Caenorhabditis elegans: one gene and its partner. The protein of the gene in region 1 interacts with the protein of each later gene in a pairwise test. Each region holds a gene or a part of one and is shown on either strand. Other genes may lie near its edges.

Evidence for each region.
Region 2: the proteins of F55A12.5 (region 1) and acds-10 interact in a two-hybrid assay, tested with the Caenorhabditis elegans proteins (one large-scale study listed by BioGRID).

The regions. Positions count from the first base shown.
Region 1 is NC_003279.8:5,344,182-5,350,271, reverse strand, and holds F55A12.5 (Telomere_reg-2 domain-containing protein), read right to left. Parts: upstream 4,346-6,090; 5' UTR 4,345-4,345; coding exon 4,252-4,344; intron 4,207-4,251; coding exon 4,091-4,206; intron 4,045-4,090; coding exon 3,933-4,044; intron 3,850-3,932; coding exon 3,723-3,849; intron 3,673-3,722; coding exon 3,620-3,672; intron 3,562-3,619; coding exon 3,488-3,561; intron 3,444-3,487; coding exon 3,200-3,443; intron 3,142-3,199; coding exon 2,996-3,141; intron 2,954-2,995; coding exon 2,732-2,953; intron 2,683-2,731; coding exon 2,536-2,682; intron 2,233-2,535; coding exon 1,901-2,232; intron 1,854-1,900; coding exon 1,327-1,853; intron 1,257-1,326; coding exon 1,195-1,256; intron 1,150-1,194; coding exon 1,091-1,149; intron 1,048-1,090; coding exon 944-1,047; intron 901-943; coding exon 811-900; 3' UTR 615-810; downstream 1-614. Other genes in the region: nath-10 (RNA cytidine acetyltransferase), read left to right, coding at 74-349, 398-491; apm-1 (MHD domain-containing protein), read left to right, coding at 5,568-5,609, 5,949-6,090.
Region 2 is NC_003283.11:5,745,827-5,752,564, reverse strand, and holds acds-10 (Acyl-CoA dehydrogenase family member 11), read right to left. Parts: upstream 4,747-6,738; 5' UTR 4,746-4,746; coding exon 4,676-4,745; intron 4,552-4,675; coding exon 4,403-4,551; intron 4,345-4,402; coding exon 4,249-4,344; intron 4,193-4,248; coding exon 4,007-4,192; intron 3,964-4,006; coding exon 3,789-3,963; intron 3,694-3,788; coding exon 3,426-3,693; intron 3,375-3,425; coding exon 3,193-3,374; intron 2,960-3,192; coding exon 1,887-2,959; intron 1,419-1,886; coding exon 879-1,418; intron 831-878; coding exon 612-830; 3' UTR 532-611; downstream 1-531. Other genes in the region: pgph-1 (Phosphoglycolate phosphatase), read left to right, coding at 1-102.

The DNA of each region.
Region 1 (6,090 bases):
CTTGCACTTAGCAAAAATGTGTCTAGTCCGGAAAATACGATTCGTAAATGACTAAATATCTGCCTTCTTTCAGAGAAAATCTCGATAAAGAAGCTGAAGCATCTGCGGCGAACAAGCCAACATCAAGTCTCCCGAAAGCTGTGCCACTTGCCAATTTGGAAGATGAGCTCGAGTCGGCTGCCAAAGAGATTCGTGCTCGTCACGATAGGGACAGAAAAGCACTGCTCGCTGAGCTTGGAAACGAATTGCAAAAGTATGAGATTATACAGGACGAGAAAGAGTTGGCTGAAGCTTATGAATCTGTTAATATGAAATATGCAAACAAATTGGTCAGCGTTAAGAGCAAACGGTCAGTTTTCAACACGTATTGTTCAGAAATTGAAATAAAATTTTACAGAACTGCTATCCAAGCCGCAATTCCTGATGCAAAAGATCCGGCGAATAAAAATGCCAAAAAGAAGAAGCGCTTCTCGTCTGGTGGACGCCGTTGATTTCTATATCAAGTTTTTAAAAAAAATATCCACGCGTTGTTAATTTTTCATCGTTTACCACTTTCTGTTCTTGAAATCTTTGTTGTTTTGTTATTTGTTATGTCTGTTTAGAAATTATGAAACTTTTCAAAGCACATCTTTGTCGAATTTATAGTAAGAAACGCCTGATGAATGGTAAATATTTAGTGGAGATAATTCAAACAAGAAAAGAACAGGGCATAGGAATAATAAAAACCGAATAAATAAATAAATATTCGAAATAAACTAGATAAGAATAAACGGGGAGGTATTTAAATATAATAGATCAAGAAGAGAGATTTCACTTGTACAAATAATCATTTCCTTCAGCATCCCAATCATTGGCCATTTGCTCGAGGCGACGAAGAGCAGCTTCTTGTACTTCATCACTCTGAAAATATTTTATTTATTAATTTAATTTTTGGAATAGTAACCTGACAGCCAAGGCACTTTTTCGAATCATGGTCCACTGATTTCTCTAGTTTAGAAACAGCCGATGGCATAGCTTGAAGAGGCTGATGAGTTTTCACACTTGAACCTGAAAAAAATATATAGATAAAAATTGAAATTGTACAACTCACTACTCGGAGTACAAAAGTTCTGAAGTTTATTCGAAGTGGTCTTCAGAGTTTCAGTAATTCTGAAAATTGAAACATAGTGGGCTTTATTCAAATTAAAATTTTACTTTGCCAGTTTTTGCTCAGCTTGGAGAAGGATTTCCTCGTCAGTTGCACCGTCGAATTTTATCTGTAAATTATCAAATTTTAGTTTGAAAAATGAATAAACAGCGGGAAATGATCTGAAAAATAGTACTAACCATTTCCTTTTCAAGCCCAAACTTCTTCATACGCTGATCTCTGAACATGACAGAAGTCTGCAAAATAATTTGTTCCATGAGTTCTTCCAGTTGTGTTTCAGTCAAGAAATCATCATCTTCCACTTCATTTTCCTCTTCTTCCTCATAATATTCATCCTCATCTTCATCGTCTTCATATTCCTCATATTCATCTTCCTCTTCATATTCTTCTTCTTCTGATTCCGATGATATCACGGGAATTTCTACTTTTTTCTTCTGAACATCCATTTTCGGAGTGTATTTTACAGTAACAACACTGCTTTCTCCAGATGATAAAACCGCATCATCGGTCTCAGTTTGAGCGTCTTTCATTGGAGTTGCAACTTTTGGAGCCAGTTTTTCAGGGGTTTTTTGAGCCAAAATGCTCTTCTCATGACGTTGTGCAGATTTTAAAAGTGCTGCTTCCATTTCATCATCTTCTTCATCTTCATCAGAAGAGTCGAATGATTCCTTTTTCGATGGAGTACTTATGGCGACATTTTGATGACCTAGAAATTGGATAAGTTATATTTTATTCCAAGAGTTCGCAACTTACGTTCAAAAGAGAGTTCTGAAGTTTGAACAGTTCCAGGAATATAAGATGCACGTGTTGGAGTCAAAATCACAGATTTTGTTGAAATATGAGATGAATTTAGAATCGATTCATCACGAATCAACTGTGAAACTGCTGAAGGAAGCATTGAATCACGATTATGTTTTAGTGGAGAAAAAAACATTGAATTGTCAGCAGATGATAAGTTATCAGGAGCAGTATCAAAGCTATGGAATATGTCTTCATCACGAAATGAAAAATCATTTGATGCACACAAAATATCTTCATCGTCTTCTTCTGCTTCTTCTGATGCTTCCACATTTGAATATCCTTCACTGAAAAATAAATAATAATATTCCATTTGAAGGAGTAGAGGTTTTGGATTTTTTATTTGTTAAAATCTGAAATTCCGCCAAAATTGAATTAGCACTCTTTTTTGAATATTTTCAGTCGACAGACATCCAATACTGGAAATTTTTAGATTCAATTAAAAACTGCGAAACTTCAGATTTTCGCAACTTTTGGTTTTTTTTTTCAAAACTTTGGGCCACCAAAAACATTTTTTAAAGAAATTTCATTGCAGAAAACCAACAAACTATTTTTCTTCGATCTAGATTTCCTTATTATTTCCAACTTACAGACTATTGATGATAGTTCCTATATGTTCGGATTCAGTTGTATTAATGTATTCATAGTCAAATGGCAATGGAAAGAGAGCTTTCATATCTCGACGGGTTACTGTACTTTGCTTCATGGAAGATACTGGAGCTGTTGAGTAGAACGGGCTGAAATATTAAAACGTAATTTCAGAGTAATTTCATTTTTTAATCTTACCCATAACAAAGAAGACTATTGATTTTGGTTCTATATTTTTCAGTGACAACTTGAATTGCCTCATGAACATTATCATCGTGAGCAGCTGATGGTTGAAGACAGTGCTTCCACGCTTCGAACAATACTTGAACATCTTCCGATGAGTCTGAAATTAAACGAACCGCCTCGACGAGTTGTGAAGTGCGAAGGCGTGAAAGAGCAGCGACGGTTTTTCTGGAATGCCTTCGGACCGGTGAGAATTTGAAATCAAAGAAAAGAACAAACCCAGCACAAGCATCAACAATTGCTTTCCAACAATCTTTCTGACGCTTCGTGAGAGATAATTGTGAAGCAACAACTGGAGCTGATTTCATTGTCATTCCAGATTCTGTTGTAGTTGAGGCAACTGTAGATAATGTTACGATGTAAAGCTGAAAAAATGAAAAATTATTTTGAGTTTTAGAAGAAATATTGAATTTTATCACTCACTTTGACATCCAACATTGAGCATTCTGCACTTTTCATATACTCCTGTGCATTCAAAGTTGATGGAAGATTTGAGAAAAGCGATGAAAGAAATTCACTTTTCAACATTGATTTCTGAAATAAATAAAGCCACAGAAGAAGCCTCAGCGTCTGCTCATCGCCAAGATTTGATAAACTGAATTTCGATTCTGGAGTGATTATCGCGTTGAGGTCCATTTGTTCACTTGATACAATATCACGGGCAGCTCTGAAGAATGCAAGAAAATTGCAGAATTCTTTTGAAATTCTTACTCGAAAATCGAAGATTTTACGAACTGAAATCGACCGCTAGCTAACACCAAATCATCAACGATACTGTCAATGTTCTGAAAAAAAGACAGCTTATTCACTTGAAAATTAGACGAATAAATCTGAAAATATTACAAAAGCAAGGTCGATTCTGTAGTTTGTAAACTTGGCAAGATGAATTGAGCACTCTGAAATTATTTAATAATTTATTTTAATACATTTTATTTAAAATTCTCACCAATAACAACTCGATCAGCCCACTGCTGCATATGTATCTCCTCGATTTCATGTTCAGGACTCAAATCGGGAACAATCGATGAAGCGAGAAGTTGGGATAACTTGTAGAGTGTCGGTTGGTGATTTGGCTGAAATTATGAGATTTAAACAAAGAAAACTGGTTTTTATTTATTTATTTGAAGAAGTTTGAAGTTTTTTCTTCAGTGCTAACCTTTCCGAGCACACTGAGAATGTTTGCGGCGAGTTTCAGAAAAACTGAGAGAACGAGCTTCTGTAATCCGAATGTTGACTGATCTTCGGCCCGTTCGTAGAGAGAAACCAATCTGAAAAGCAAAATAAATATAAAATTAAGGCTAATTAAAAACCCACTCGTTCAGTGAATTTTGATATTGAGCCGTTGTTGGTGGATGCGATCGCAAAACTGATGAAATCTGATCATGCTCTTTTTGAAGACTTCGGAAAATTGTGGATGGAGAGAGAGTATTCTGAAAATAAAGTTAATTTTTTATTTATGTGGGCATATTAAATACCTTATCACCGAAGGATTCATTGAAACTGTCATTCGCCTTTTTGAGTGAAGCGGGAGACGAGAAAAGTGCCGAAAACGAATCGTTCAGCACCATTCTGTAATTTTTCTAAACAGTTTGAATATTTTGATTAGAAAATTCAAAAAAGAGCACAAAGAGATAATTTTTGTTTTAATTGATCAAATAAATTCACTTAGATTTTAATTTTTTAGAACTCGCAGCAGAAAAAAACTCAATTATATGTGCTATAATTACAGGTTCTCACAATTCCTTGTTTCCCTCTCAATCCGGATAATCCGCTCAGCTTCTAGCCTAGCAACCGGGACCTTCTCTTCGTTGCTACGAAAATGCTGTATCACATTCCTTCTTTTTGGATAATTACAAAGCTTCTACCCTTAGAATTTAGTGAAGTGTGAAAGTGCATAAAATCGAAAAATTATTTTTTTAATGAACTATTTCCTTTTTTTAGAGATATTCTGCTAATATGCAATTACTCAATCAATAAATATTCTGATCACGATGGCAAATCATCATGAGAGAGAGATTCTCTACATTGAAGAGAGTACGATATTTAAAGAGAATCATGAAGCATAAGGAAAAACGAAGAGACTCAGATAGTGAATAGTTTTGCGGACACCTATAGACGGTGCGCCTCTTTCGGTGACTGCATACAATACAATATTTGTTCTCTCTTTCTATTCCATTCTCCATCTCTTCCCGCACACCTTTCTTTTCCATTTTCAATCCATTCCCAATTTTTCTCTCCACTATCAGTTCGTTTCTCTGCTTCACTAGAAAGCCCTCTCACATCTCGACAGTCTATTACGGCTTCCACGTTTTGCCAGATGTTTTAGATTTAAGGGGCATCAAGATGACGCGTCATTATCTGATCTAAAACTTTATAAAAGTCTGAATAAACGATTTTTCTAATAATTTATACAATGACACGTATATTAAGAAACTTCCCTTTCAGTAACATATTTCAAAATACTTTCCTCCCGACTTTAATTTTTTAGGCTGTTTTTAAACTTGATCAACTCTATTAATAACACAGTGACATGAATTTTATATTTAAAATCCGAAAATATATCTTAATTACATGTTTTCAACTCTGCAACTTTTCGAATAGCAAACGAGACAAACAAATTTCCAAAATGTTTCGCCGTGAAAACTATTTCGAGTAATTTTAAAGTTCACGCGCTCACTATTCCACACATTCTCGACGTATTGTTTCAGATTTCCACGTTTACCGCTTTTAAAACATATATTAAAACATTTTGGAACAATTTTAAATTACAGGATTACCCAGAGAAATCGACATGTCGATTTCCGGTCTCTTCATCTTGGACCTCAAAGGAAATGTGAGTTTCACAATGATTTTTTGATAGGCAGGCGAGTTAAATATATGAATTTAGCACAGAAATAACTGTTTAGAACAAAATGAATGTTGTAAAAAAATAAAAATTCAGTAAATTTGAAGGAAAACCAACGAAAAATGAAAAAATCGAACGGAAATTTCCGGCGAAGCACTTCGTTTTTCAAAAAGTTCACTGTCGTAGTATTCTGTGCATCTGCACATTCGGCGCTTCGTTGTACGCGCAAACTTTTTTAGACAAGCACAGAAATACTGAAAAGCAGTCAAATATCAATCAAATTGAATGGAACCTCAAAACAAAACATCCTAAAAATTATTTTTAAAGGTAGTAATATCGAGGAATTACCGCGGAGATGTGGATATGTCGTGTATCGAAAAGTTTATGCCACTGTTGGTTGAAAAGGAAGACGAAGGAAGTGCATCTCCAGTATTAGTGCATCAAGGAATTAGTTATACATATATTAAAT
Region 2 (6,738 bases), on another chromosome or scaffold:
ATCATTGAAAATCAAATGAACGAAAGAGATGATATGGTTCCTGATTATGTTGCACCATGCCTTGGAGCTCTTGTTCCGGAGTCGAATCAAATTTATTATTAATTGCATTCGTTTATAATATTTATTACGAGTAATTGTATTTTCCACATGACAGTTTCAATTGTTGAATTGCATTGAATTGTAAATATGAATAAATTTTAAGATAAATATTGAGACTTTGAGAATGATATTTTAAAAATTTACACTTGAAATACAATATACGATTAGGAAATAAAAACTGTGTATCAATTCGACAATTTCGGCAATTTTGAAAGGTCAAATTTTCTGATTTGCCGGCTAGCATGCTTGTATTTTGTTGAACAATGTAGACTTTTTGAGCTGTTACATGAAAATTGAAAAGGCGGCAAAATTTCATGCAAAATAATAGGAAAATTGGGCTGTTTTAAAGAAACTAAATATTTTCTTTTCTGGGAAAGAATAAGACATTGAAACTTTGTAAATTATTTTTGTCAATAATAAGTTTTCAAAATTGAAATTTGTTTGATTTATTCACAAGTTAAAACTACAACGACACTTTATAAAACAATTTCAATACAAATTCAAACAAAGGTTTACAATCTCGATTTCATCTCAATCTTTGCAATAGTCTCCAAGTGTACAGCATCTGGTCCATCAGCAATTCGAAGAGATCTTGCCCATACATAAAAGGAAGCCAATGGTGTAAATGGAGTAAGTCCTCGAGCTCCTTGCTGCTGCATGGCTCTGTCCAGGATGCTTATTGCCATGTTTGGAGCAACAACTTTGATCATGGCGATTTCAGATTTTGCTTCCTAAAATGAAAACATTTAAATGAAAAAAATAAATATTTCAGTTCAAACCTTTGGTCCAACTGTATCAATCATATGGGCGGCTTTCAATACTAATAATCTGGCTTGCTCAACTTCACATCTTGAAAGAGCCAATTCTTTTCGTAAACTGTCAAATTGGACCAGCTTCCTTCCAAATGCAATTCTTGTCAATAACCTATCTTTTATAACATCAATTGCCCGTTCCGCATGCCCAATAAGTCTCATTGCATGATGAATTCTTCCTGGCCCAAGTCTTCCCTGCGCGATTTCAAAACCTTTTCCCTCTCCCAAAAGCATATTCCCAACTGGTACACGAACATTTGTGAATGTGATCTCTGGATGTCCTCCTGGAGCATCCTGTGATCCAAAAACATGAGTGTTTCTGATAATTTTAACACCCTCCGTCTGCATTGGCACTAAAATCATTGATTGTTGCAAATTTCTTGAACGCTTTGCCCCAGAAACTTGTCCCATAAAAATGGCGATTCGACATTTTGGATGTGAAGCATTCGAGATGAACCATTTTCTGGCATTTATGATGTACTCATTGCCGACACGGACGATGGAACCCTGTAAAAATAAATAAAATATTTTGGAAGTTTGCTGGCATAATTTAGAATTTTTACGGTGGCAACAACATGTAGGCATCTTTAAACCTTCTTTATCAAGTTGCCAAGTTTTTTTGCAAGAAATCCACGCTGATAATTTAACATTTGGTAGCTACTTTTACATACTTCAAAAAAAGTACATCTGATTGTACATCTTGGTAACTCTTGGCAAAATCTTAGCAACTTACTGGTGGCACCTTTTGCCAGAAAGCTGACTTGAAAACCGGAGTGCGCGGTAATTGCCGTTCGGCAATCGAATTTTTGGCAATTTCGGCAATTGCTAGAATTGCTGATTGCCGAAAATTTCTAAAACCGGCAATATTGCCGAAATTGCCGATTGCCGAAAATTTCCAGAACCGGGAATTGCCGAAGTTGCCGATTGCCGGAAATTTCCGATCGCGACCCTGCTTGAAAAGCTCCAAAGCCTTACCTGGATATTTGTGGCATCACTACTCGCGACATCAGGCTCAGTCATCGCAAAGCAACTCTTAATCTCTCCGTTCAATAATGGAGTGAGCCACTTGCTCTTTTGTTCTTCACTTCCATACTTGATGAGAACTTCCATATTTCCCGTATCTGGAGCTTGACAGTTAAATACTTCTGGTGCAAAAATGCTTCTTCCCATAAGCTCACAGATGTGTGCATACTCTACGTTTGTCAGGCCTTTTCCGTATTTTTGTTCAGGATCAATGTGTTCAGAAATGAACAGGTTCCATGCACCCAATGATTTTGATTTCTCCTTCAGCTTTTCAATTTTCGGATGAGGAATTGTCCATCTGTGAGGTCCTTCTTCATAATACTCCAAGAGCTCTTGTTCCAACGGAATCACATCATTTTGTATAATTTCTCGAACGATTTCGTAATATTTTTGAGCTTTCAAAGACATTCCTGATGGAATAATTGTAAGTTGACCGTAAGATTTTGATGCATGAACTTTTGAAATCATTTGCATTCCTTCAGCAGCCAGCTTTCTAACAAGTGGTCCCAACTGAGAAGCTTCAGTTGAAGATGCATTCTTCAACTGAGATCTTTTATAAACTCCTTGAATAATGCTTGCAAATCGGAAAATAACAAACGCCATGTAGTAAGTCCATAGCTCTGGATCAACAACTTCCGTGTTTGTGTATTTTGCATAAAGTTCCAAACACTCTTTGATGGTTGGAATGCCCATTCTATGAAGATCAGATTCACTGTAATCTCCGAGCCCTGGTAGAAGTATCATTCTATTTGGAACATAGTATACAAATAAAAATGTTGCAAGATCTGAAAGCGGATCTCCAATTGTTGAGAGTTCCCAATCGAGAACTCCTTTCACTTTGATCTCATTCTCTTCGATAATCAAATTGTCCACACGGAAATCCCCATGAACTATAGTCGATTTTCCACTTTTTGGCAGATTTGCTTTTAGGTACGCTTCGAGTTTTATCATTTCTTGAATTTCTTCAGTTTTCGCCATTTGATAGGAGTCTGACCATCGTTTCAGATTACGGGCCATGTACCCATCTGAAAATATTTTGATGAAATGCTAATCAAAATGAACGTATTTTTTTAATCAAATTTTCAAAATGCACAGGTGTCAGTTTTTCAAGTCTTTTTGAAAAGTGTAAAACGAAAAATTTTCCAATTTAGATTTTTGCTTAAAAAACGAAAAATCGGAAATTTTCCTTCTTTAATTGATATTTTTGGAAAAAAAAAATCGAATTTTCTAAAAATAATATGTAATTGTTAAAATATACCTGTTCTTCCAAAGTCCTGTAATCCAACTTTTTCATAATCAACCGAATGAATTGTTGCTAACGTCTTCAGTGCTTCTTCATACACACGACGTCTTTCTGGTGGAGTCAATTCTGGAAGTGATGGTTTCAGGAATATTCTTCCTTTTTGATATTCCATAAGATAAAATGAAGTGTCAAGGGTTCTAAAAAAATAATGTATTGTAGCTTAGAATTTTAAAGTTGGCAAAACTAACGTTTCATCGTACAAAAGTGTTTTCGGGAGAGGAACAAGTCCCTGAAGAGCATTCATTATTTTGAACTCTCGATCCACTTGATGAGCTTTTGGTAGAAGACTTCCACTTGGTTTCTTTCTAAGAACATACTGAGACCCTCTTACTGTTCGGATGTAATATGTTGGGTTTGACTGTCCATGACGGAATTTGCGGATTGTTTCAACTTTGTTATCAGTCCCAGTTCTTCTGGTAATCAATTCATTGATCTTTTCAATTGGGAGAACTTCTCCTAAAATTAAATACGATGAGCAAACTATGAAAAAAGCCAAAAAGAGAGAAGCAACTAATATTTATGTTAGATATAAAGAAATAAAAATTAATTACTTGGAATGCAATCCCGTGTTTCCGGTGGGTAGGAGAAGTTCAACTTGAGAATATTTCCTAGATCATGAATTGCTTGCTGGCTGCTAACAACTTTAATTGTAGTGATTCCCATTTCTTTGGCGGATTTCAGATTTGACCCCAGATCATCGAGGAAAACACAGTCGGATGGGTGAAGCTAAACGAAAAAGTTGAAAGATTTGTAAATGTGATAATGCTACCTTGCTTCTTTCCAGCGCCAATTCATAAATTTTAGTGTCAGGTTTACGGAGACCAAGACGGCAAGACTCGAGAACATCATCAAACAAAAGTCCAACTTGCGATGGAACTGTTGGCAAAAGTCTAGCACGATCCGTATAAAAATTGTTGGTAATGAGGATGGTACGGTAGCCGGCAAGACGAAGAGACTGGAAATGAACAGATGTGTCTGGAGAACCATGTTATGCCAAAATGAAAATCAAACCTTGATAAGCTCAACCATCTCCGGGAGAAGTGGAGTGTGTTGGATTTGACTGCTAACCTCTACAAAAATTGGCAAAATGTCTCCAACTCGATTATTCTGAAAATCAAGGTTCAGGCTTAAAAAAATGCAGTTTTAGAAAAAAAAAATTGTAAACCTGAAAATTGTAAATATGAGTGAAAAGTGGATCGAGATCCTCCGAAGTCAACCGTCCGGTTTCAAAAAGTTTGAAATGTGGGTAGAAATCTTTACTGATGATTGTTTCGACCACTGAACCATCACGAAGATTGTGAGTTTTTTCGATGGCTGAAATTTCAGTGATAGAATTTTTTTCAAATTATTGTATTCTTGAACAAATATTTTGATTAACAGAACCTAGCAATAAAATGGCATATCTGAAAATTCAAATAATTTTTCCATGAAAACTTACATTTCCAATAGTGCATTGGTGCTGGGAGGATAACTCCTCCCATGTCAAAAATTACCGCTTTGATGGTCATTCTGAAAATTTTGAGTTCAGAAAAAAAAGATCTCCAATCGGGAATGTGTTGAGAAAACGTGAGTGCGGGCGATGGCAGAGAAAATGGTCAATTTGATAAGGAAAATAAGACAAGTAGGGTACGATGTAGTGTCGAATACAAATCAAAAAAGATATGGAAGGGTATAGTGTGGTGTTGAAAAATGAAAAGATTTTGATTATTGGAACAGTATTATTGTTGGTTTCGATCGAAAAACCAACTGTTCCAAAAATATTACTGATACTTTAATATTAACGAGAGTGAATCTAGATACCTCTAGCTTGACTTTTTGGCAGATCAACAAGAATTTGCGGAAACTTTTAAGCGCTTTCAGAAATTAATTACAAAATTTTTCTAGGTGCCAGAAGCTTCCAGTTCAATCAAGAAAACTTACCATCATGTATACAAATGACCGCATTTTTATTGGGTAATTTATTTAGTTTTCATAATTTCAAAAATCAATATCTGACTTAAAATTAACTTTTTTAAAAATGTTTCTTCGGGGACTTCTTTCAAATTTTAAGCGCTTTCAGAATTTAATTACAAAATTTTTCTGAAGCCAGAAGCTTCCAGTTCAATAAAAAAAACTGACCTTGAGGCATATAAACGACCGCATTTTTTATTGGGAGATTTATTTAGTTTTCATAATTTCAAAAATTAATATCTGACCTAAAATAAACTTTTTGTGTGTCTTCGGGGACTGGTATCAAATTTTAAGCGCTTTCATTATCCCCCACCAACATACAATCCCAAAATTCCTTAAAAAGACAAAAACTCAATTTTGCCCAAACTACAGTAATCCTACAGCAACCATACAGTACTTCTACAGTACTACTCAGTACCCCCAGCCGTATCTCCCCACTAACTCTGAACCAATATCTTTTCATAAGCCAAAACTTCGCAGACTAGGCATTACTCCACTTTTTTGAACACTATCCACTTATCGAAGTTCCCAAACGTGGATATTCTAAATGATGGTCATGTCTAGAAAGGACTGCTTGTGAATTGTTGATCCACAAATTTACCTAGAAAAAAATTGGAAAATATTTGTGCACGTATTTATTCCAAGAAACAAGTTTATACTCTGATGTTTGAGCAGAGCCGCCTGACGTTCAGTAACCTTCGACCCTGAAACTTTAATTCAAGCAATTGAACTGGTCATCTTCTCTGGTACACCCAAACACAAGAACTTTTTAATTTTGCTCTATTTCCTTCAACATCTTGCTTCAACTCCTGCTACAATTTATATTTAGAAGAAAAGAGAAGAGCCATTCCCAATTTCTTTCTTTTGGTGTCCGTCTTACAGCGTGGTCCGGTGATAATTAAATTTACGTTTCTCAACACACACACACACATCCATCCATCTTTTTATTCCCATTTTATATGCACCGTTTACGTCATTTGTATATATTTACAATTCGTTTTATTTATTGAAAGAAATTCCTCAATTATTTATGAATTCTTTGAATCTGACGGTCTGAGGAAAGCCCTGGAAAAAGTTCTTCATTAAGATTTTCAAACCTTAGTAGTTTTTTTTTTAAATTAATACCTTATTAGACATTTGTAAAACTTGAGAAAAAAATAGGAGTTGTTTCAATTTCTTAAAAAAGTGTCAAATTGTCCGCAAAACATTATAACTCAAGAGTGAGCTGCAAACAACAAAGTTGGAGATTGCCGTTTTTTGAAATTTTGTCCAACTTGGCAAAAACAGTTCAGTTTAGTTAGTTCAGTTAGTTTGGACCATTTTATCAAAATTTATTGTTTTCTTCCCCGAACCTTGTTCAAAATTTCCAGCGACTAGGTTCAAAAACCTTAGAACATTTCCGGAGCCAACTCGTCTATTTGACATTAAAATTGAGGAGCGTGGGCTCGAATTTCTGATTTTCGAACTCCTATAGCCCATCGGAAATTGAATATGGAATATCCGGCGACATGTGATTGCAGGAAGGGGGCAGCTCACAAATTTAATGCAACA